Linked DNA regions of Caenorhabditis elegans. The gene in region 1 interacts genetically with each later gene. Each region holds a gene or a part of one and is shown in the gene's direction. Other genes may lie near its edges. The genes, in order: mys-1, ksr-1, eor-1 and lin-25.

Region 1 (5,303 bases):
CACGAAATCATTAAATTGTTCAATATCATAAGAGCAAGAGTCAAGGCAGTCAATACTTTCCGGGTATATATCTGCAGCTAATTGTGTAGATGCTTCTCGAAATTCATCAAACTTTGAGTTCATTAAAAAATGATCTAACGTATTTGAAACTTTTTTATCTAGTTTTGATCTCCATAATGTGCACTGATCAAGACGATTTACCAAATTGAAGCGGAATGTAACAATATCCTTTTCAGATAAAGGTGAATGAATAAATTCAAATTGTGGGATTATTATAGTAACAATTAGTATAAAATATAGTGACATGATAGAGTATGGGTCAAACCGTCTTCTCTAATTGAAAATGGAAAATAGTAGAAGTAAACGGAGACGGCGGTAAACCTGAAACGACGATCAATTACTTTCTGTGATCGAAAGAGAAAAGAAATGACGAAAAAGATATATAGATTACAAAGAAGGTCGTATTCTTTCACGAGTGTTATGATAATCATAATGATCGGAAAATGGGAAGAAGAAGAAGGAAGAATAATAAGAAAAAGAGGAAAAATAAACGAGGAAGAGGCTCTCTTATCAATCTTGTTCGAACAGGTGTTTTGATGTGACGCGTTCAATCAGTTCAATGATTTTCAACTCTTCGTCTCTTCATCTCATCCTGTCACTTGTCGCTTTTTGATATTTGATTTTTTGTTTTCGGATTTTTTGTGTGCTTCGTAGTTGCTCCGATGATGCCGGATTCAACATTTGAATGTAACATTTGAATTTTGAAATTGAAGGAATTCATTTGAATCTAAAGCTTGCAGGGTCAAGACCGATACATTCTTGCAACACATGACTCGAAAGTATGTAGGAAAAATTGAAGTTGGAAACTTGGAATTTGATGAAAAAGTACAGTAATCCATTCTCTCTTATTTCGCAACTTTCTTCGATTTTTGATTTTTCCTAGATTTTTTAAGCTAAAATTTTGCTGTTTTATTTTCATTTTTCATGCTTTTCAATTTCGGTTTTCAACAAAATTATGTTTTTCAGAGAAAATCTCGTGAACAATAACTCGGCTACTGTACCATTTAAAGGCGCACACCTTTTCGCGCAGCATTGATTTAAATTTTTTTGTTCGTGGCTCAACAGTGCAATGGACATCTAGATATCTGAAATTTTACCACTGAATTCAGTTCATTTTTTAAGCATCTTCAAAAATTTGCGTTTTCCTAATTTTCTTGTGATCGTTTTTTTTTTGAAAGTACAATCGTACATTATAAATAACTATTTTTCAATTCGAATAATTTAATTCAAGATCATTTCGCAAAATAATTGCCTTGAAACGTTATGCCGCGGTCAATTTTCAACCACCCTTGTTATTCTTTTTTGAATTGCCGCCCTTTTTCCCTGTGGCCGGCGCAGTGCGGCCGAGGTTGGTTTCTAGGCCAGCCGGCGCGTTTTATTTTTTTCGAGCATGATTTCACAATTATTTCTTGCATTTTTAAAGTTTTTTATTGATAAAATAGTAAAACTAACAACGGATAATATTATTTTAAAATTAAAAAACTAGTTTGTTCATTTTTGGATCGATTTTTAGATGTTGTTCATGGATTATGCACGCAAGAAAGTACTATCGTTCACATTTGATTGCTATATTATTGAATATTGAATTTTTCACACAAAATTGTACTATTTCCAGATATTTATCATGACCGAGCCGAAGAAGGAGATTATAGAGGACGAAAATCATGGAATATCCAAGAAAATACCAACAGATCCCAGGCAATACGAGAAAGTTACAGAGGGATGCCGGTTATTGGTCATGATGGCTTCACAAGAAGAAGAAAGTTAGTTTTTACATCTATTTAAACACATTTTCCAATTATTTTCAGGATGGGCCGAAGTTATTTCAAGATGCCGAGCTGCAAATGGTTCAATTAAATTCTATGTCCATTATATCGATTGCAACCGAAGACTTGACGAATGGGTTCAGTCTGATAGGCTCAATTTAGCGTCGTGTGAGCTACCAAAAAAAGGAGGAAAGAAAGGAGCACACTTGCGGGAAGAAAAGTGAGAAATCTATAAACTTTTCAAAAGATTTTAAATAGTTTTATCAATTCATAATTATTTCAGTCGAGATTCGAATGAAAATGAAGGAAAGAAAAGCGGCCGAAAACGAAAGATTCCACTACTTCCGATGGATGATCTCAAGGCGGAATCCGTAGATCCATTACAAGCAATTTCAACGATGACCAGCGGATCTACTCCAAGTCTTCGAGGTTCCATGTCGATGGTCGGCCATAGTGAAGATGCAATGACAAGGATCCGAAATGTCGAATGCATTGAACTAGGAAGATCACGAATTCAGCCATGGTACTTTGCACCTTATCCACAACAATTGACAAGTTTGGATTGTATTTATATTTGCGAATTTTGTCTGAAATATCTAAAGTCGAAAACTTGTCTGAAACGGCACATGGTGAGTGTTTCGAGTTATAGAAAATGACCGAATATAAATAACTGTTTTCAAAATTCAAAAATTTTCAATTTTCCAAAAATGAAAGAATCGGTGAATTCGAAAAAATTCGAGTTCTTGTGTGTTTTTGGCTGAATTTTTCGGTTTTTCTTGCTTTTTCCGTTGATATTAGTTTTGAAACAATGTTTTTAAAATTTTCCGGCATCGAAAAAAATCGCAAATTCTGGGAATTTGCTCCAAAAATTGCATTTTTGAAATACTTTTTTGCGAAAACGAAAAAAAAATTCACAAACGGTGTTTCAAACCAAATTTATCGTAATCAAAAAAGTTTCGCAAATAGGCCATTATTCTGCGTGGGAATTCAAATTAAAATCAGCTACTTTTTCTATTTTGCAAAATGGAAAAAAAACGTAAAAAATAGACAAATTTTTAATTTTTTAAACAATTACATTCGGTCCATACTCTTCATTTTCTATCATTTAATTAAAATGCCCAATTCTAATTAATTTTATTTCAGGAAAAATGTGCAATGTGTCACCCACCTGGCAATCAAATCTACAGTCACGATAAACTTTCATTTTTTGAAATCGACGGCCGCAAAAACAAAAGCTATGCTCAGAATCTATGCCTGCTTGCCAAACTTTTTCTGGATCACAAGACTCTTTACTATGACACGGATCCATTTTTGTTCTATGTGCTAACCGAAGAAGACGAGAAGGGTCATCATATAGTTGGATACTTTTCAAAAGAAAAAGAATCAGCTGAAGAATATAATGTTGCGTGTATTCTTGTGTTACCTCCATTTCAAAAGAAAGGATACGGAAGTTTGCTCATCGAATTCAGCTATGAACTCTCGAAAATTGAACAGAAGACAGGATCACCCGAAAAACCACTATCAGATTTGGGACTTCTCTCATATCGATCGTACTGGTCAATGGCCATCATGAAAGAGCTTTTCGCATTCAAAAGACGACATCCAGGCGAAGATATCACAGTTCAGGACATTTCACAAAGTACATCGATTAAACGAGAAGATGTTGTGTCAACGTTACAGCAACTTGATCTATACAAATACTATAAGGGATCATACATAATTGTGATTAGTGATGAAAAGCGTCAAGTTTATGAGAAACGGATTGAGGCTGCGAAAAAGAAGACACGAATTAATCCAGCAGCTCTGCAATGGCGACCCAAAGAGTACGGAAAGAAAAGAGTGAGTTTTTTTCAATCAAAAATTCGTGTTTACGGCTAAAAACTGAAAATTAAAATTAAATTAAATTCGTGATAACATTTTTTTTTCAAAAAACCAAAAAAAAACAATTTCGTTTTTGGCAGAACCAAAAAAAAAATTTAAAAAAAAACGGTTTACGCCCTATTTCATACAAACAACAGAAATTGCACTTTTTTGAGCAAATTTGACCCTACAATTTTTTTCCAGTTTTTTGCTCTTTTTCAAAAAAAAACACCTAAACACTGGAAATACTAAATACTAAGGAAAAAAATGGAAATACTGGTTTACAGTGTCAAAAAATTGAAATTTTCTAATAAAATCATTTTTCTTTTTACTAAATTTATCAAAAATTTATAACTCAAATCTTTCAGTTTTTGCGAATTTTTTTTCGAAAAAACGAAAAAAAATAAACCTAATTTTAACCAAATTGTAATTTTGAAAAATCTGGAACGTCCGGAAAACTGAAAAATTAAAAAAAAAACTTTTCAGAAATTTATTTTTAAAAAACCGTTTTTTTAAATCAAATTTTGTATATGTTGATGAGAAAAAAAAATAGAAATCAATGTTTTTAAGTTTTAAAAGAAAAATTTATTTTAATTATTTTAGTTTTAATAAGGTATTTAAACAGTAACAAGGATGTCGGTTTTTCGATTTTCCGAAAAACTAAAAAATTGTCTTTTTCGATTTTTTAATCGAAAAAAAATAGAAATATTTTCACAAAACATACTATTCTTCTAAAAAAAAGAATAGTGGCAGATTTTAAATAATTTTTGAACTCTCGCAATTTTTTTCGAAATATCCAAAAATCGAAAAACCGGCACAAAAGCAAAAAGTCTCCGGGAATATATCTTTAAATTATTTTATGAACTTTTTTTTCAGGCGCAGATCATGTTCTAGCAACAACGACATGTGTTCTCGCCACGACGATCTCAACCTGTACATTAAAATATAACACTCCGTTTTATCTCGCATCTACACACCGAAAAGCTTACGCTATCCCTTTATCATTCCCACACCGCTCAGAGAGCGTACGCCTCATTTCATTTCATTTGTTCTGTGTAATAATTTGACTTATTAGTCACTTATTTTTTTAATGAAATTATTCTTGAATTTCATAATCTTCTTGTTGCAGTTCAAATAATTAAAATTCATCATATAGACAAGTAAGTTTATAACTGCAAAAGTGAAGTTTTCTAATCATTAAGCGTTCTGAAGATATTCGGCAACCGCCTGAGCGATCAGATCACGGCGGGAACGAGTTGAGGCGTAGACATGCTTGCAGCCAGTGACAACCTGAAAGATATTCAAAAAATTAATTTCAGGACTCGAATTTTTAACAATCTGAATAAAAAAATCCAAAATTGTATATTATAGAGTTTTTTGAAATCTAAGCGAAAGCGCGCTCCAATGTAAAACGAAAAGTGCTCCGCCCCTAAACGTTGGGTCCCGTTAGGAATTTGTTATTTTTTCGGTTATTTCTGACTATATTATAATTTCGAAACGACAAGTATTTTAAACATCATTTCGACATAAAAAATATGTAAAACAACAAAAAACAATCGAAAAAATAGTGAAAAAGTTTGAATTTACAGTCTCGCCGCCTCCTACCGAGACCTAACG
Region 2 (4,797 bases), on another chromosome or scaffold:
ACATTTTGGTCCATTAGTCGTCTTTTAAAACGTAATTGCTATTACTTCAGTACTTATATTTTACCCTAATTTTTGGCTAACTTTACCATAGTTTTTGGCACGTTCAACAAACTACCCATAATTACTTTCAAAATTTTCATCGAGCAGGAACAACATTTTTAATGTTGACTTTGCCGAGATGTTACACTAAATTAGTTGTGATCTGCCAGCAAACCAGGAACTAAAAGCTTGTTCAATGCATTCCTGGTATGAATCTTGACCTACTCTTAAGTTGATTACGCAACATTTTGAACACCTGTTGTGGTCTTCTCATTGCGGACCATTTTCTCTCACCCCATAGACATACAGTCTCCTCTCTCTCTTATTCATACACTATTCCCCCCATCCTCCCGTCTTCCCGACATTTTTGCGTCCTTTCCTACTATTCCTACTGTCAATCCACACCGTTCTCCCCTTTTCTCTTCATCACGTTCAAACAGTTTGTTTGCTTGCACGCCGATCTTTCTTCCTCTTTCTCTTTCCACAACTCTCAGCATTCTAGCATTATTTTCTCCAATATATTGAACAGTATTTGAATGCAACGTTTCTTTTAACTTCCGACCAAAGCCTTATGGCAATTTTTTCTCACAACTACTCTTTTCGGTCGGCATTGCTTAATTTTTAAGCGCCATACTGTTGTTCGGTATTTCATGTGAAAGCGAAAAATTAAAAAAGAAAGAAAAGTTAAGCTTCCTAATTTTTGTATTTGTGGTAGTTTTAATACGCAAAGCTAGGAAAATGTAAAACTCAAATTGATAAACTATAATTACTTAGGAGTGATGATAAAGGATAATCGATTTTTTAAGTGAAATAGTTGAATATTTCTACTCAATAAAAAAACACATTTAATATTGGTAGAGTACAATTATTGGATTTGGAACAGTATTCTAATTAAAGAAACAAAAGAAGCCAAAATAAAAGTAGAATGCCATTGAAAAAAATCGGGACATTGTGATGTAATAAGTCTAATCTAACCACCGGAAAAGAAAATGTGGTCGAAAATACCAATTCTTCTTTTCTTCTCGTCACTTCTAAATTGAGTAATGTACATAACCTGTCTCATAATTGTTCGCCACGCAACCTTCACAATTTCGATGGCAGAAAGCCGCCGAAAGCTTTTAATTTACTTTCCGGACGATTTCGACTTTTCTAGAAGGTTAATACACACCTTTTTTGAGTAGATGATGTTGTAATAGTAAACAAACTGTAAGCATACTTATATTGGTCATCGCAATTTGACTTTGAATTGTAAACATCCAATTGTGATGGAATTTGTAGGAAGAAAATATTGTAGATTTTACTAACTCATGAATTGAAATTTCTGACTGTACTGTGGGGCATACACATATTTTCTCTAATTGTCTTGCTCCCTTACAGTACGAATGCAAACCATACTAACAGAAAAAACTCGGCACTTTTCAATATTACTTGCTCGTTTGCTTTTCTAGTCATTTAACGCCTTTCTAAAGCACCAAATACATTCGTATTGCCCTGCTCCCACTACCACACATACATAAACGAAGGATGAGCTCACAGGGAGCCATTTGATAATTGCGACGACACACACACATACACAAAATGAGAAACCAAGCAAAAAAGAGTGTGGCGCACGTGTGAGCTCACAGCGTGCTCCGTTTGCACCGGGGATTTCCAAAAGTTGACCAAAAACCAGCACTGTTTTTTCTTGGCAACCTTTTGAACGTTGTGCTCAACCAACGAAAGATTTATTTCAGGGAAAAGATCCGGAGAAGGTAAAAACTAACCAATAATATCAATACACAGAATGATGCAAACCCAAGTTGCATCACGTGCGGGATACAGTAATCTACCGCAGTTTGGTGCAGGAATCGCACAGGATATAAAGACACAGGCTATAAATAATTTGAAGGGTTAGTAAAAAAAATTTAAAAAAAAACAATTCGAAGTTGCAGAATGTTTGAAACTTACCACTATCAATCGATTTTTGACTTCATCATACGAAGAAGATGCAAAAAGTGTAGAAGTAAGTTTTTTTGAAAAAAAAACAACTTTTGTAAAAATTCAAACTTCTCCTATTCGTGAGCATCGTTGTTTTATAAACTGTAAATAAATGAATTCAAGACAGACTAGTCTTCATTCAGCAGAAAAAATTTTTAAGATGCTTTAAAGTTTTGTTCATAAAATACACTATACATATATTGACACCTCAGTCCAAATTGTTTTAGATCTTTGTGGTAAACCAATCTGTGGTACTAAACGTTTTTCTAGACGTTTTCCGTTTATACTGTAAAGTTTATTTGTATAATTAAATTCTATAATGGTATTTTGATAATAAATTTAAAAAATTAAAAATTTAGATGCACAACTTCGTGCATGAAACGCTAATCGTTATATTTGAAAAACTGAAACTTACTTTCAAACAAATGTTGATTTTCAAATGTTTTAAATTTAGTGAGTTTATGATATTTTGAATATGAAAAAATATCAAAATATCAAAGCTTTTAAAAAATAGATTTAAAAACTTTAAGTGAATGTAACTCTTTTTTTCTACGAATTTTAGTAATCAAGATATCAGAGACAGATGAAAAGGTGAAACAACCTGAAACAAATGGTCTGAAATCTTTCATTGACGTCAACTAAATTCCAATGATTCTCAATTTACAGCGCAAAATATTCTCGGCCGTTTATCAAATGACAAAAATTGGTTTGATTGATCGCGAGAAGCGTGAGATCAACGCCATTTGGTTCACATTTGTCGGGCTCAGCGCACAAAACATTCGGCACTTGGAGATTTGCTCGATCACCGATTTCAATGCTCTGTTCAGCATCACTAACCAAGAGGTTTGATCCTTCTCTTTTTTGCTCTACCTTTTCTCTCTTTTCTCACACATCATTTCCTGATTTTACACCTAACAGAAACATACAAACACTCACAAATCGGGTTCTAGGCATATCTATATCCTTCTAAATGTCTTTCTGCTGATTCGGGTCACAACCTTCAACATTATCGTTTTATTCTTAAACTTCTTTTCATTTCCCTCTACGCTTCCCATTGGTTTGGGGTGTTTGGGAGTGCGCTTTGACGCTCTTTCCCTCTCGTTTTTCCGTTTCTGTTTCCGTCTCTTCTTTCTTTCTTTTCACCTTCTACTTTCTGCATTTCTCTCCTTTCCTTTCCCACTCTTCTCTTTCTCTAGAGGCCAGAAAACTGCAGCTCTCTCCGTTTTTTTCCTGATTTTTGTGAGCTAATTTGTTATCCAAAAAAAGAAGAGTAAACAGAAAAAGAGGATTAGGTTAATTGTTACCTATTGATATTCTGCTCATTGTTGTTTTTTAAGACTCACGAACTTTCTCTCAGCTAGCACATGCATAAGTCATGTATCTGACTGATTTTTATCATCTCATTTCGTAATTGTTTGAATTTGAGTTTCGACTTTTCATTTAGTCATTTTGCAGCAGGAAGTGTTTTTCGAAATGAAATTTGTCTTACTTTTATCTGACAAATCAACTAGTTTGGTAATTTTTCAGATTTAAAAATTTCCTTTTTTTCATTGAAGATTTTTTTAAAACTTGATTTGTCAAATTTTTTAAGATAACTTTACCATTTAATTTACAACAACATTGAACAAATCAATTGTTAAATTTGAATTCGAAACAAAACTTGAAAACTTCAAGTGGCCTTTCATATGATAATTGGCCAAAATATTAGAGTTGATTTTGAATGAATGTTTTTTGTGAGAACAACTATGCTGAAGCATTTCTGGAACATTCATTGTTTTTAGCGATCCAAAGCATACACGTTTTTGTTTTTTTGCATTGCCTCCGTATACTCGGTAACGTCATTCGTGTTCCAACAACACCTGTTACATTTCTACGAGTTGTTTTCACTCTTGTCTGCATGTTATCAAACTTCTATTGCTCGTTTCATTACTTTTAACCGAGTTTCTCTGTGCTCCGCCTTCTGAACATTTGAACCCAAACATAAAAGTTTATTTCAGTTGCGATCGCTTGCGGATCGTGGTCGTCTTGATGTGGAGACCAAACGAAAGTTGCTTCAATCTACAGTGATTTTACAAAATCACTGGAACGGTAAGTGTGCGGCAATTTGAAAATTTGTATTAAGTAAAATGTAGAAGAAAATAATTCTTGCCACGAAAATTTTGCAACTGTTATTTTTTGAAAATGTTCTCAAAATTCCTTACTTTTCTAGTTATTTTCATAAAAATTTATAGTCTCAAAACCAGTAATTTGACATTTTTTAATCAAACTTTAAAATTTAACTTTAATCAATCCCGAGATGGTAACTGCAAAATTAAAAAAAAACAAGACGGTTTTTATTAAAACAATTTTGAAGCATATTTTATACTGAGTTTGCTCCACTTCTTGAAAATTTAAATCACTGTCAAATGTTCAAACCCCATACATTTTAAAATTTGAATATTTTGAATGTAATTGAAATAAAAAATGGAAAATTTTATGATGGAGGACTTCCGCAAAAACTGGTGACCATTTAGTATTGAGCTTTTTGATTTTAAATAAAAAAAACTTTCCAAAGTTTTTGGAATAATTTTATTATGGTATATTTGATTATTTTTGTACCATAGGAATGGTTTTGAAAAACTTCCCCCGCAGATCGGAGTCCGCCTTCAAACGTCGTTTTCGGTTTATTTGTTAATTTTAGAATTAATACTTTAAGCAGCCTGAGAATTAAAAAATCAACCTTATTCTTTTATTCAAATTAAAATTTTTAAAATGTAGTGTAATGATACACATTGAACCAGC
Region 3 (8,035 bases), on another chromosome or scaffold:
CCCGATAGGCCGTGGGCTTGCAATGGAAAGCATTTATTGTTTAACACGAATTACAAGAATCAAGTGGTAACAAATATATTCGATTTAATTCTGCATTAAAATAAATTTATTTCCAGAATAATTTGGCGATTCACGTTGAAAGTTTAAGAACCACGTGCCTTGACTTGAAACGGCCTTCACTAATTATTGATGTTCGAGGCGATGAATTCCTTTTTGAAACGATCACAGCAAACGCTTATTCTCGTCTTTGGCATTCTCAATTGGGCTCACAAAGTGATGGTAAATTCACGGCATCGCTGTTATGCACACACAAGCCAGAAAACGATACGATTCACAATTTTCACATTTATCCAATGAGTTTTCAAAAAATTGGCAATTCTGCGATACTCTACATGTTGCCGGAATGTGTTTCTCCCGGATCGAAGTTCCCGCTGGTCGTGGTCCCCTTTTCCGGATTAGAACCTAATTTCACCGTTAGGTAGATTTTTTTTCTTTAGACTCAAAATTTATTGAAAAATCAACAAAAAAAGCATCGAAAGAATTGCAAAATTCACGGATCGAGCTTTCAATTTCAACCGCAATTTTCTATCTTTATTTTTTTAATTTAAAAATGTTCAAATAGCAATTTTCCCTGTTTATAAAGAATTGATTTATAAATTTAAAATTAAATTTAAATTTTCAGTACCGTTGACCCTGTGCTCTCTACAATGGTAACTTGTGGCTTCTGTGTGCTAGTTGTAAACTATCGGGAGCCATTTATAGCAATTCCAGGAACCTGCTTTCCAAAGAATTGTGGTTCGGAATGTATTAATGATGTTCATGTAGAGAATCGTTCGTTTTTTTCCTCATTTTATGATTTTTTTTACAGGAAACTGTACTAGAAGTTCTCGAGAGACACGGAGCGCGGTTAGATGAAAAATATATTTACTTGTATGGATTTGAATTTGGATCTTTTGTGGCGTGTAGTCTGATTATCAAACATAAGGTGGGATATTACATCGACGCGAGATTCTGCGATTTTTGGTGAAAAATACAATACCCGGTTTCGACACGACATGTTTTCTTCAGAAATATTTTGAAAGTTTTATTGATAGATCCGTCAGTTTTGCGACATTATAGTTAAAAAAAAACAAAGTCTCTGATTTCGGTACTCCACCTTTAACTTTCAAAAAATGTCGTGTCGTTACCCCGATATTTTTCTATTTTTGGCACGAAAATCACAAAATTTAGCGTCTCATGGATTTTCATATTTTTTAATTCACTATTTTCAGAAATTCTATAAAGGATGTGCACTCGTACGGCCGATGCTCGAATTTCCATTCACAACGTGTGCAGTTGATACAGAAAACCCTGAAGCTGAATTTCTGAAAGACGTGGAGCCGGTCTCACATGCGTCTGAAATTGTTACTCCGATGTTGATTGTTCTGGAGAATAAAAGCGATACAAAGTACAAAGATTTTGAGTCTACAATTCACAATAATGGCGTTCCGTGTTTTGGAGAATACGAAGAAGAAGACGAACAAGTGAATGATTTCGTTGTGAAAGTCATTCAATTTTATAGAACACCATATGGAGAATACGAGAATGGTTCTAGAATTGAAACGCCGGTTCCTGATGATTAATTATTTATTTTTTCTTTCTTGAATTATTACTAACTTATATTGTTAATTCATTAAAAAAACGCCGATTAGAACAATGTCTACATCAGCTTTAATTCGTTGTTAAAATATGTTACAAATTGGAATTTCGCTCAGTTTTAAATTTTTTATGTGTCGTTATGCTCAGATATATATTTTCTTTTTTTGAAATCTCGAATAAAATTTGAATTTCGTTAAATATATAACTATCGTTAAAAATCCATTGAAATAATATTTGCAAATCGATAATCTTTTAGATTGTTCAGTAGAGCGCGTCTGCACACTCCTCACCCGATTTGAATCGGAGCATTTATTCTAAGTTTATTGACGTCTTCCTCGATAAAATGTGAGTTTCCCATCGAATAAATTATAAAATCGCAATGAAAATTATTTCAATTTAATTTCAGATGACATTAGTAGCTAGTTCCGAAAACACAGGGCTCTGTCCAATGACATTTGATGATAGTTCTGGGCAAACCAGTCATATGTGTAAGAGTTTTGTATTTAATTCAATCTTGGCTTGATAATTAAATTAACTTTTATTTTTCAGTGTTCCAACGATTACAATATCAACGAAAAACCGGCCGATTTTGTGATGTGGAAATTGTTGTTCAAAACAAATCATTTGCGGCTCATCGAAACATTTTAGCAGCTCACAGTCCATATTTTGACGCAATTTTCAAATATTGCAAAATCACAAAGGAACAGCTCACAATAAATAGCAAATCTCCACAAGTTTTCGAGTTATTCCTCAATTATATGTACAGTGGAACAGTGATTATCGATCGATCAAGTGTTTCGGAGCTATTGAGATTTGCAAATAATTTTCTGGTAATATTATTGATTTTTCGATCGACTATTCCTGCTATAATTCCGTTTTTTTCAGATAGTGAAGCTAAAAGTGTATTGTGCAGCTTATTTGGATCGATATCTAGACGCGGCCAATTGCTTATCAATACGAACGTTAGCTCAGAGATATAATCTACCAGGACTTGTGAAAGTAAGAATTTGAATTTTTAAAGCTTTAAAAGCGAGAAACTTCGAATTTCTTTTTTCAGTCTGCTACAGACTACTTTGACAGCAATCTTAATCGATGTTTACTGGAATCCAGAGATATAATTGGTTACACGTATACACAACTGACAAGACTCATTGGAGATCCGAAATACGTGGATTGTATTACTTCTGACACTTATTTAAAGTGAGTTTTTTCGTTCCAAAATGACTAAAACAGTAATTTTTTCAGATTAATAGTCCGCTGGGTCGGTGAAGAAGTATCGAAGCGAGAGGAAATCTTCCGATTACTACTAGAATCCTGCGAATTTCGAGAAGTTTCAGCTGACACACTGGAATTTCTTCTGGATTACTCGCCGTTGCTATCGAAAAGTCAGAAAAGTCGATTTTTGCTACTACATGTCATGTAAGTGGAGTTGTTAAAGTTTACAAAATTATTACTGATGAAATAATTTTTGTAGGGAAACAAATAACATGCTTATGGAAAAGTACTCGACTCAACTGAGCAGTCTTCGTCAGAAAATCGTTGATCTTCCGATTCTCCACGATCCATCTCAATTTGAAGATGATATTTATGATTCAAGTGATTCTGAAGAGGATCCAGATGATTATATAGCTGATGGACATCCAACATCTGCACAAGTTGTTGAATACGGAAATGATGTTAATAATCGACTGAAAATGAAGATTGCATTCCAGCCGGGAAATGAGAAGAAGCGGTTAGTGATTATATGAAAAAATTGATAAAATTCAATGGAAAATTTTAGATTAAAACGACCAAAAGGAATGAAAAAACATCATTTGCACCCAATTCCACCGATTAATGCGACGGAAAATGAAAGTGAGCTGGTTTTTTTTCTCAAAAAAAAAGGGATTTTGTGAAATTGTAAAATCAAAAATTGAAGAAATCTTCTGTCAAATTCCTTATCAATAAAATTTCCAGGTATTCCATGGATCGACGAAGACGAAATTGATGGTGTATATGCTACATGTTCATTGGAAGGATGTCATACCTATGGACCAGTTGACAATTTGGATCCAGATGATTGTGAAGATGAAGAAGATCAACCTGATGAGAATGGACCGTCCACTTGTATTTTCTGTGGACTGCGGACTGCAAATGAGGAGGTATTGACAAAAAATAAATCAATTAAAACCTTGAAAAAATGCGAAAAAAATATTATTTTTCTCAAATTTAAACCGTCAATATGATTTATTCTATTTTTAGACGTCAAAAAGGTCTCGACACACCGAACAATGGGCTACAGTAACCTGTTGTCGGTGTGGTGAGACCTGACCAGATTTTGGCGAAAATTTCATATTTTGGCGTTTATTTAATATACAAAACTCGACACGACGATTTTTGGCTACATCAAGAAAATTTACGCCTTTAAAGATTACTGTATTTTCAATCTGAGGAGTTTTTATCGATTATTTTTAGTTTTTCGATAAAATATATTTATTTATCAACCAAATATTCCGAAATTTAAATAGTTTTTAAAAAGCTTAAATTTTAGAAAAAAAAACTATGAAAAATCAACAAAAACACCGTACAGTAATCTTTAAAGGCGCATAATTGTTTTCGGTTCTAACGAAAATTTGTCGTGTCGAGACCAGGCTCGAAAATTGCAAATTTTTGTGTCTATATAATATATATCTTTAAAAATATTTTTTTAAAGAATTACAGCACAATTTGGAAACTTTCATGCATAATTTATTTTTTTAAAAATATTTTGATGTAAAGTTCCATATTTTGGGAAAATGTAAAAACAAACTCGTGTACGAACGATCTTCTGCTGGTTTTATGAGTTTTATGTTCCAAAAAACCAAAAAAAAAAAAAAACCAGAAAAGTGTTGTAAAATATTTCGATCGATTCTTCAACAATTTCCTCATATTTTCAGCTTCTCGAAAAGCACAAAGCTCGTCATCACAATCGCAATACGTATTATATGTGTCATTTATGTGAATTTGAAACCAATTGGAGCAAACAATTCTATCTTCATTGTGCTGAGCACTGGACAGAGATACCGTATCGATGTGAAACGTGTCCGTTCACTTCAAATGAGATACAAGAGTTTTTGACCCATAGGCTTCAGCATAGTGAGTTTTTACAAAAATTTTGGAAAAAAACGTACATTTTTTAATTTTGAAAAAAAAACTCTTTTTTTTTGAAACTACAAAAAAATTAAATGTATTTTCAGATAAATCGTTTCTTTTTCTGAAATTCACAATGTTTCTTGAAATATAAACCTATTTTCATTTAAAAAACCAAATTATGAAAATTAATTTTTGTAAAAAAATTGATCGATAATGTTTTTTTCATATTTTCAGAATTTACCAACAATATCAATTTAAATTTTTAATTAATCTCCAAAAAATCGAATGAATAGCTAAGCTTTCAATTTTCTGTTTTTTTTTTAAATTTACCATCAGACACACGTTGACTTTGCCGAAGGAAACACATTAAAACCGAAAAAAAACGGCTGAATAAAATTGTTTTCCAAAATTACTTTCTAAAAGAAACAAAAAAACCCTCTAAAATTGTCAAATTTTCAGCCGACGAGCGTTTCTTCAAATGCGGTGAATGTGCATGGAAAGGTCGAACTCGTTCTCAACTGTTTGCTCACGAACGAATGCATTCTGTACTCGATGATCGATCATTACACTGTGAAGAGTGTGGAAGAGGATTCCAACAGCATAGTACATTGGATCATCATGTTGCTAGTCATAATGATCCTAGGTAAGTTTTTACTATGAAATTTCGAGATCTGAAAGTTAATAATGTGCGAATTTGAAATAAAAAACCATGCAAGATCTGATTTTGAGGCAATTCCAATTTTGCTAGTAACGTTTGGAGGCAATAATAATAATTGTCTCAAAACCAAACAAGGCGACTTTTATTCAAATTCAGAATTTTCACAATTTCCATCAAATTCTTCCAAATTTCAGGCCTTATATCTGTGAGGATTGCGGTTTCGCCACCAAAACCGCCGATCATCTTTCCCTTCATCGTCGTCAACATACTGGAGACAATTTTAGCTGTCACATTGGTCAGTTTGTATTTCCTGTAACACCACGCATTGGAATACACTGAATGCCAGAATAGTTCCGTTATCACCTGCCAACCGATCCATCATTTGGATGACTTTTGCGCAGTTCACTTCTACTTTTTTCCAACCAAAAACCCCCCTCGCTGCGTCTCCTTATCACCCGTACTATTCCATTAATTTTCGTTTCTCCTTGGCGACACAGCGCCGCCTTTTCCGCACAAAAAATGGTCGAAAAAACGAAAGAAAACGGCGGCTGAAGATAGAAACAGTGGTTAGATCATCTGTGGATCATATCACTTTCACTTTTTTTTTCTGCCGAACACACACTGGGGTACTGTAGGTATTTGGTAATGGTTTTATCGTCGCGCTCGACATAAAATCATTTCGACGTGTTTCATTAGTTTTTGCGCTTTTGCAGAGAACTTTTCTCAGAGCTTCTTCTTCTCCAATGCAGGGCCTTTCCCAGCTCGCTTCACGCTGTGCGTAATTTTTTCGAGTTTTTAAACATGGAGTATTGTTTAAACAGCTATGGAGTTGATCTGAGCAATTTTTTGTTATTTTTCCTATAAAATGACATATTTAAAGATCCTGAAAACTACACTATAAAATGACATATTTAAAGATCCTGAAAACATTACTGTTAATTTTCAGCCGGTTGCGACTACTCGTCGACCAAAAAAAGCCAACTGGCGGCCCATCTCCGTACCCACATGGCGGTTCGCGCCCATCTCTGCAAGATCTGTGGCCGTGGATTCATCGAAAAATCACATCTGGTCCGTCACGAGAGGATTCATTTGGAGGAGAAGCCGTTCAAGTGTGATCAGTGTGAATATGCATCTAGTCGGCGTGATAAGCTTAAGGTTTTTGAGCATTTTAGATGATAATTTTTGATAATTTTCATAATTTTTAGGAGCACATCATCAAGCATCACAATTCGGAAGTGCTCACATTCCAAAAGACTCAACGAAGAAAGTATAAGAGACAGAGAATGTTGGCTGCCGCGAGCAATATTGTGAATAATCCGGATGCTCTGTTCCGTCCAATTACTTCTGATGATGCTGTTAGCAATTGGCAGGCTACTAATGACTTTTCGGTAGGTTTATTGAATTAACGAAGAGCCAAGCGACAGAATTTCTGAAATTTCGCCAATTTTTCCTTGTCGAAGCAGCTGAAATATAGTTTCTTTCAAACTATAACCCGTTATTGCATATATTTTCGGTACTAGATCTTGCTTAAATTCGCCGATTTAGGCACTATTAAAGTCAATAAGCATCCAATTTTGGTCATATTATGCCAATATTGATGATTTTTGGATGCCTATCGACTTTAAAAGTGCCTAAATCGGCGAATTTCAGCAAGATCTAGTACCGAAAATATGCAATAACGGGTTATAGTTTAATAGAAACTATATTTCAGCTGCTTCGACAAGGAAAAATTGATGGTTTTTGGGATTTTTGAAAAATCGGCCGTTTGGGGTTATACAAACTTAGAATCTAGAAATTTCTCATTTATCAATTTCCAGACGTACTCTCCGAATCCCAACGATTACGGTGGACCATCAACTTACGGCAACCCTTCATCTCCTCAGCGTGCCTTCTCAGTCGTTCATCCATCTCAACATCAACATCATGCCCAATCACCTGGCTGTATGTCTATGATGAATGTTCCATTACGGGACAATCATCATCAGATGCAGCGACAGGATTCACCGGGAGATTCTGTTGGAGGTGGTCAAGGAGGTGGTGGTGGTGGTGGACCTGAAGGATCAGACAATACACATGGAGTTTTGATGACACCTAACTTGGTGATGAGGTTTGTTACCTGTAAATTTTGCAAAAAGCAGTGCCGCATTAATTCTAAACATTATTTTCCAGATCTCCACATAACCGGAGTGCTGTCCAACCGCAATTCAACAATCTCTCCACAAACTCTGATCCACAACAACAGCAGCAACAACAGCAACTCCGTCCATTCTCACTTCCAACCTACGGACAAATGGATTTGGCTCAGGCGGCTCAACTCCAGCAACTTCAACAACAACTACAAGCAGCCGGGCTTCCACCGACTGGAACCCCGAATAATCAAGATAATTCCAATAATGCATGGAATCCGTGGAATGTACAATAATAAATATAGTCCTGAAACTGCCTAAAACCTCACTTTTGAAAAAACCCCTTTACTATCTTTGCCTTTTCTTGTAACATGTTTCAAATTGTTCTTAATGCCTTCATTTTGATATGTGTATGATCTCCTTGTTTAATGCCTAATTAGTCCTAAATGGTTTTTATGGTTATAAATAAATTTATGAAATTATAGATGACATTTTTAACTGA
Region 4 (4,812 bases), 5.6 Mb from region 1:
AAATGAATCTGTAAATAATTGTTTCCTTCCAAAAACCACAACAAACTGAACAAAGTGTTACTTGAAAGTCAAATGTTTTATATTTGCTTCATATTGTGCAATTCCCAAGGTTGGGACTCTGGTTTTCAATATATCTTCTCCGGTTGGCAAGTATTCTTTTCCAATAACTCTTGCAAGGTTTTCAATGAAACTGGAAATAATAATAATTAGACTGAATAAAACCCAACGTTTAACTTGCTGAATTGTTGAGTCTTCAATATTATAAACAGTTTTATTCCTCAACATCATGGCAACTGTTTCATCTTTTATGTACATCTGGATAGACTTTATAATGTCTTTGCACAAAACATTTTCAGTCTCTCCAGTTTTATTGAACTGTTTCGTAAATATTCGGATTTGATTTAGGCATTCCTATAATGGAAATTAGTTTTGAAACATTTACCGTATTTCCTCTATTAGTTTTGCACCCCTTTGCTCAACTTTCACAGCTCATATCTCAGTAGTCGTTTGTTTTATAAAAAAGTTGTCAACTGATAAAATTTTTGCAAGATGTTTTCTAACGTTTGTAGTTTGTTAATTATTTATATGCTTAAAACAAAACGAGATATGAGTTGTCAAAGTTGAGCAAAGGGGTGCAAAACTAATAGAGGAAATACGGTAATTACTTACAATTGAAGATGGATTTTCGTAAATTAATTGTCTCCACATAATTGCCCAGTGTATCTCATCAATACCTTCCAAGATATTTATATAAATTCCATGTTTTAGAGCTCTTTTTTCTTCAACACTGTATCCTCCACAATGAAGAATTCTCAAAATTTCAATATTACAAACTACCGATAATATATTATCTAATTATTTTGAAAATCAGCTGAGTAGGTGATAATTTTTGGAAGCAACTGAAAAAATGTAGTTTTCATTGAATTTACCTTACTTGCTTGACTATTGTACTTTTTCCTGACTCTCCCGGACCTAAATATAATAAAGGTTACATTTTGATTATGTTTTTTTTTTTAATCAGGTACCTATGATAAGAAGCTTTAAAGCCTTCTTCTTACGTTCCTCGAGTATTTGTGTTTCGATTTTCAAGTTTTCATCTATCTTCAAAAATATATTTTCACTCAAAGTTTTACTTAACCTCCACCTGTTTCTTAAGTTGCTCTCTGCCGAGAACATGATTTTTGGCCGATGAAGAAAATGATGCACCCAGCTTTGAAAGGCTGAAAGTTTTGCCTAGTTTTTTTTTACAATAGTGGCTTTGGGTCTGATAAAAACACTAGTGAAAATTACGAATGAAATAATTTGAGACATGCTCAAGATATTGAAAGTTGTTATTTCCAAGTTTATATATAAACTTAAACTATAGTTTGAGTGCAAAGCACATTTTAGAAAATGTAATGTTTCCATGGTAACTTATAAACAAGTAATTAAAACAAGCTTAAAGTTTTTTTTTGAAAATGAAAAGTGAATGAAGCTGAATTAAATCGTCTTAAGAGATTGTTGGGGTGGCAGTTTGATTATTACATCTGAAAATTGTGTAGAATCATTGAAAATAAATGCCGTCCACGCCCAATTTTTCATTGACTCTGAGAAGTGAAGGAAGACATCCCTCCTATGTCAGAAAATGTACAATGGAAGAGGAATGCATCGTACCTAGTCCCCCAAGTAGTGGGGGACAATAAACACTCGGCCACCTCGCTCTATTGCGTGTCTACGTCTCACATCCATTTATACTATTGCACCGAATATTGGGTTAATGTCGGTGTTTGAATATATTTTGGTTACAGTTTAAATGCTTCAAATTTAAATCAATTAAATCATGAATAGTATCAAAATTGATAGTTCAACAAAAGTGAGTTTTTTTTTAAATAAATTTTTATTTTAATTTCAACAAACTTATTTTGTATTTAATTTTTTTTTAGATAGTTATTGAATATATTGACAAACTCCGCAATTGCTCAAATGAAAAACGACAAAAAGTATCATCAGTCATTCGTCCAGTTGACTTTCCCGGTATCTCAACTCAGCAGCTTTGTGGTTTGTTGCAATTCTTTTTTGTAATTGTATTAATATATTTTATTCAGATATTTTGATTCGGTTTGCTTATAATGGAACATATATCGATGATGTTTTCCGGGACCATCTTCTCAAACTTGTCGTAGATAAGGTACTCTGTAGTTCTTTGTTTTATTCCAAAAAATTATAAATTTACAGTCAATCACCTGGAATCAAGTCATCCACAGTGTGATAAATACAAAAACAGATAGAATTTATTCGAAATGTTTGCAATGCGAATTGATCCGGGAAATGGTCAACTATGTACAGTGAGTTGGCATTTTTAATTGAAAAATTTTGCCAAGTTTATTAATTTCAGAATCAAGTCATTTTCTGATAAATTGCATGCAGATGAGCTTATTTCGATTATGAAGCCGACTGTTTTCTTCCTCGCGCAACTGATACAAGTAAGATTTTTAGTATTTTTAACGAGCGATAAATGTTGTTTAAAGTTAAAAGCTTACATGTTGAAGGTTACCAAAATATATGTTCAAAATTGGCAAATGCTCTTTTACTACCTCATCTTTTACTACGTTGCTCTTTTACTACGGTTTACTCTTTTACTACGGCCGTATTTTTTACTACATTTTCCAATTTCGATTTTTTACTACGAAATGTATCTTTTACTACGGCCGTTTTTTTTACTACGGTTTCCGAATTTGATTTTTTACTACGATTCGTATCTTTTACTACGATTAACGATTTTTTACTACCTAATGAAAAAAAGAATATCAAAAGTTGGAATTTGAAAGTTACCTTGTAGCAGATTTTAGGTATAATTACAATTTCACTCTGAAATCAACATGAAAGTTTCATAGCTGTGTTCTTTTTCCAACTTTTGAAATATACTACTGTCTGAGCGGTTTTTAACTGAATCCGACGATATCAGAACGGGAAAATGAAATTTATGAAAATTTTCCAAACAAAACTATTTTGAAACCTTATTAGGCACTGATCAGTTATTGTAGAAAAATTCTCAATCTGTCGTTTTTGAAAACATTCCTGTCAACTTTGTGATTTGGCATAATAATAAGAAACTCGACAAGTAGGGCTCTATATACCCACATATCTTTTCGGACAGAGGGAATGCGAAAAATTAATCAATCGCAAACTTGTTAAGCTTAAGATAAGGAACACTTTTCCCGTGCAAACTATTTGAAAAAAAATCTGAATGGATCCAGATTCGAACCAGCAATGACTCTACTGAAGAGCGCGCGCTTTACCACTTCTCCAAACAGGCGAGTGGCGGCCGCGGTTCCAAGGAATATGTGAAACCAACCGAGCTGTACGAAGTAAGAAGCTTCCATTACTTTTTCAGATATTTAGTTCTGAAAACTTTGTCAACTCTCCTTATCAACAACTAAATGGTCCTTTTTGTAGTTATTTCTACTGGCAAAAAAGAGTGTGCCTGTAAATAATATCCTGCGTATAAACGTTGTTGTCCAGTGAAAACCTTCCCTTGACTTGAAATTTCTAGAAAATTGTACATGCATGTTGATACGAGATACAGAAATGAAACATTTGAAATTAAATTTTGGGCCTAAAATGTTTTTTCTCAAAAACCACTACAGTTCTTATTTTTCCAAGAGTGTATATAAAAAGTTTATTTTTTAAAATAATTTTTCGTATCAAAATCCCATTTTCCGGCTTCAAACGTAACGTTTTCGTCGTTTTCGTTATTGGCAAATCGAATTCGATCGAAATTGAAAAAATTCCGGAGTACGGTACATGTCGGTGTTTGCGTACTTTTGCGTACCGTGCATTTTATTCGACGACACTTCATATTTTTAAAAAGCAAAATTGACAAAAAAGTGCGTTTGAAACCCAAAAACAGGACATTCCATGCGAAAAATAATTTCGAAAAAATTCAGATTGCATTTATTACTGGAAAAAAACAAGATTGGGGCCGTTTTTCAGAAACAAATTTTGGGCCAATTTTTTTTTGAAAATAGCTTATTCGATGAATCACAGAAGTTCCCGAGCTGCTATTAAGTGGAATTTGTAGAATGTTTAAAAATACACTCAAAAAAAGTAGTTTTCAAGATAAATTTCAAGTCAAGCGAAGGTTTTCACTGGACAACAACGTTTATACGCAGGATATTATTTACAGGCACACTCTTTTTTTCCAGTAGAAATAACTACAAAAAGGACCATTTAGTTGTTGATAAGGAGAGTTGACAAAGTTTTCAGAACTAAATATCTGAAAAAGTAATGGAAGCTTCTTACTTCGTACAGCTCGGTTGGTTTCACATATTCCTTGGAACCGCGGCCGCCACTTGCCTGTTTGGAGAAGTGGTAAAGCGCGCGCTCTTCAGTAGAGTCATTGCTGGTTCGAATCTGGATCCATTCAGATTTTTTTTCAAATAGTTTGCACGGGAAAAGTGTTCCTTATCTTAAGCTTAACAAGTTTGCGATTGATTAATTTTTCGCATTCCCTCTGTCCGAAAAGATATGTGGGTATATAGAGCCCTACTTGTCGAGTTTCTTATTATTATGCCAAATCACAAAGTTGACAGGAATGTTTTCAAAAACGACAGATTGAGAATTTTTCTACAATAACTGATTAGTGCCTAATAAGGTTTCAAAATAGTTTTGTTTGGAAAATTTTCATAAATTTCATTTTCCCGTTCTGATATCGTCGGATTCAGTTAAAAACCGCTCAGACAGTAGTATATTTCAAAAGTTGGAAAAAGAACACAGCTATGAAACTTTCATGTTGATTTCAGAGTGAAATTGTAATTATACCTAAAATCTGCT

The links.
Region 2: of mys-1 (region 1) and ksr-1, changing one enhances a phenotype caused by changing the other (phenotypic enhancement), as found in Caenorhabditis elegans (one large-scale study listed by BioGRID).
Region 3: of mys-1 (region 1) and eor-1, changing one enhances a phenotype caused by changing the other (phenotypic enhancement), as found in Caenorhabditis elegans (one large-scale study listed by BioGRID).
Region 4: of mys-1 (region 1) and lin-25, changing one enhances a phenotype caused by changing the other (phenotypic enhancement), as found in Caenorhabditis elegans (one large-scale study listed by BioGRID).

What each region holds. Positions count from the first base shown.
Region 1 is NC_003283.11:7,081,035-7,086,337, reverse strand, and holds mys-1 (Histone acetyltransferase Tip60 homolog), read left to right. Parts: upstream 1-1,675; 5' UTR 1,676-1,684; coding exon 1,685-1,823; intron 1,824-1,868; coding exon 1,869-2,046; intron 2,047-2,109; coding exon 2,110-2,455; intron 2,456-2,969; coding exon 2,970-3,665; intron 3,666-4,562; coding exon 4,563-4,580; 3' UTR 4,581-4,793; downstream 4,794-5,303. Other genes in the region: VC5.2 (Laminin EGF-like domain-containing protein), read right to left, coding at 1-306; npa-1 (Polyprotein allergen nematode domain-containing protein), read right to left, coding at 4,884-4,976. UniProt on the Caenorhabditis elegans protein: Probable catalytic subunit of the Tip60 chromatin-remodeling complex. Plays a role in acetylation of nucleosomal histone H4 and perhaps also H2A, probably acting as a component of the Tip60 histone acetyltransferase complex.
Region 2 is NC_003284.9:8,273,397-8,278,193, forward strand, and holds the start of ksr-1 (Kinase suppressor of Ras A), read left to right. Parts: upstream 1-1,772; 5' UTR 1,773-1,822; coding exon 1,823-1,928; intron 1,929-1,970; coding exon 1,971-2,041; intron 2,042-2,682; coding exon 2,683-2,859; intron 2,860-4,013; coding exon 4,014-4,104; intron 4,105-4,797. UniProt on the Caenorhabditis elegans protein: Serine/threonine-protein kinase which positively regulates Ras-mediated signaling probably acting at the level of let-60/ras or/and lin-45/raf. Involved in sex myoblast migration.
Region 3 is NC_003282.8:4,793,186-4,801,220, reverse strand, and holds eor-1 (Zinc finger protein), read left to right. Parts: upstream 1-2,033; 5' UTR 2,034-2,044; coding exon 2,045-2,126; intron 2,127-2,187; coding exon 2,188-2,468; intron 2,469-2,523; coding exon 2,524-2,637; intron 2,638-2,695; coding exon 2,696-2,838; intron 2,839-2,883; coding exon 2,884-3,057; intron 3,058-3,112; coding exon 3,113-3,370; intron 3,371-3,418; coding exon 3,419-3,492; intron 3,493-3,594; coding exon 3,595-3,779; intron 3,780-4,553; coding exon 4,554-4,752; intron 4,753-4,808; exon of another isoform or gene 4,809-4,957; intron 4,958-5,208; coding exon 5,209-5,392; intron 5,393-5,601; coding exon 5,602-5,702; intron 5,703-6,353; coding exon 6,354-6,562; intron 6,563-6,612; coding exon 6,613-6,795; intron 6,796-7,224; coding exon 7,225-7,514; intron 7,515-7,576; coding exon 7,577-7,829; 3' UTR 7,830-8,027; downstream 8,028-8,035. Other genes in the region: dpf-7 (Dipeptidyl Peptidase Four (IV) family), read left to right, coding at 1-66, 117-478, 683-821, 869-985, 1,272-1,622.
Region 4 is NC_003283.11:12,648,138-12,652,949, forward strand, and holds the start of lin-25 (Protein lin-25), read left to right. Parts: upstream 1-1,787; 5' UTR 1,788-1,819; coding exon 1,820-1,852; intron 1,853-1,922; coding exon 1,923-2,037; intron 2,038-2,084; coding exon 2,085-2,167; intron 2,168-2,214; coding exon 2,215-2,324; intron 2,325-2,374; coding exon 2,375-2,462; intron 2,463-4,812. UniProt on the Caenorhabditis elegans protein: Participates in the inductive signaling pathway downstream of let-60 Ras and the RAF/MAP kinase cascade to regulate specification and differentiation of many cell types. Positively regulates the fate of vulval precursor cells.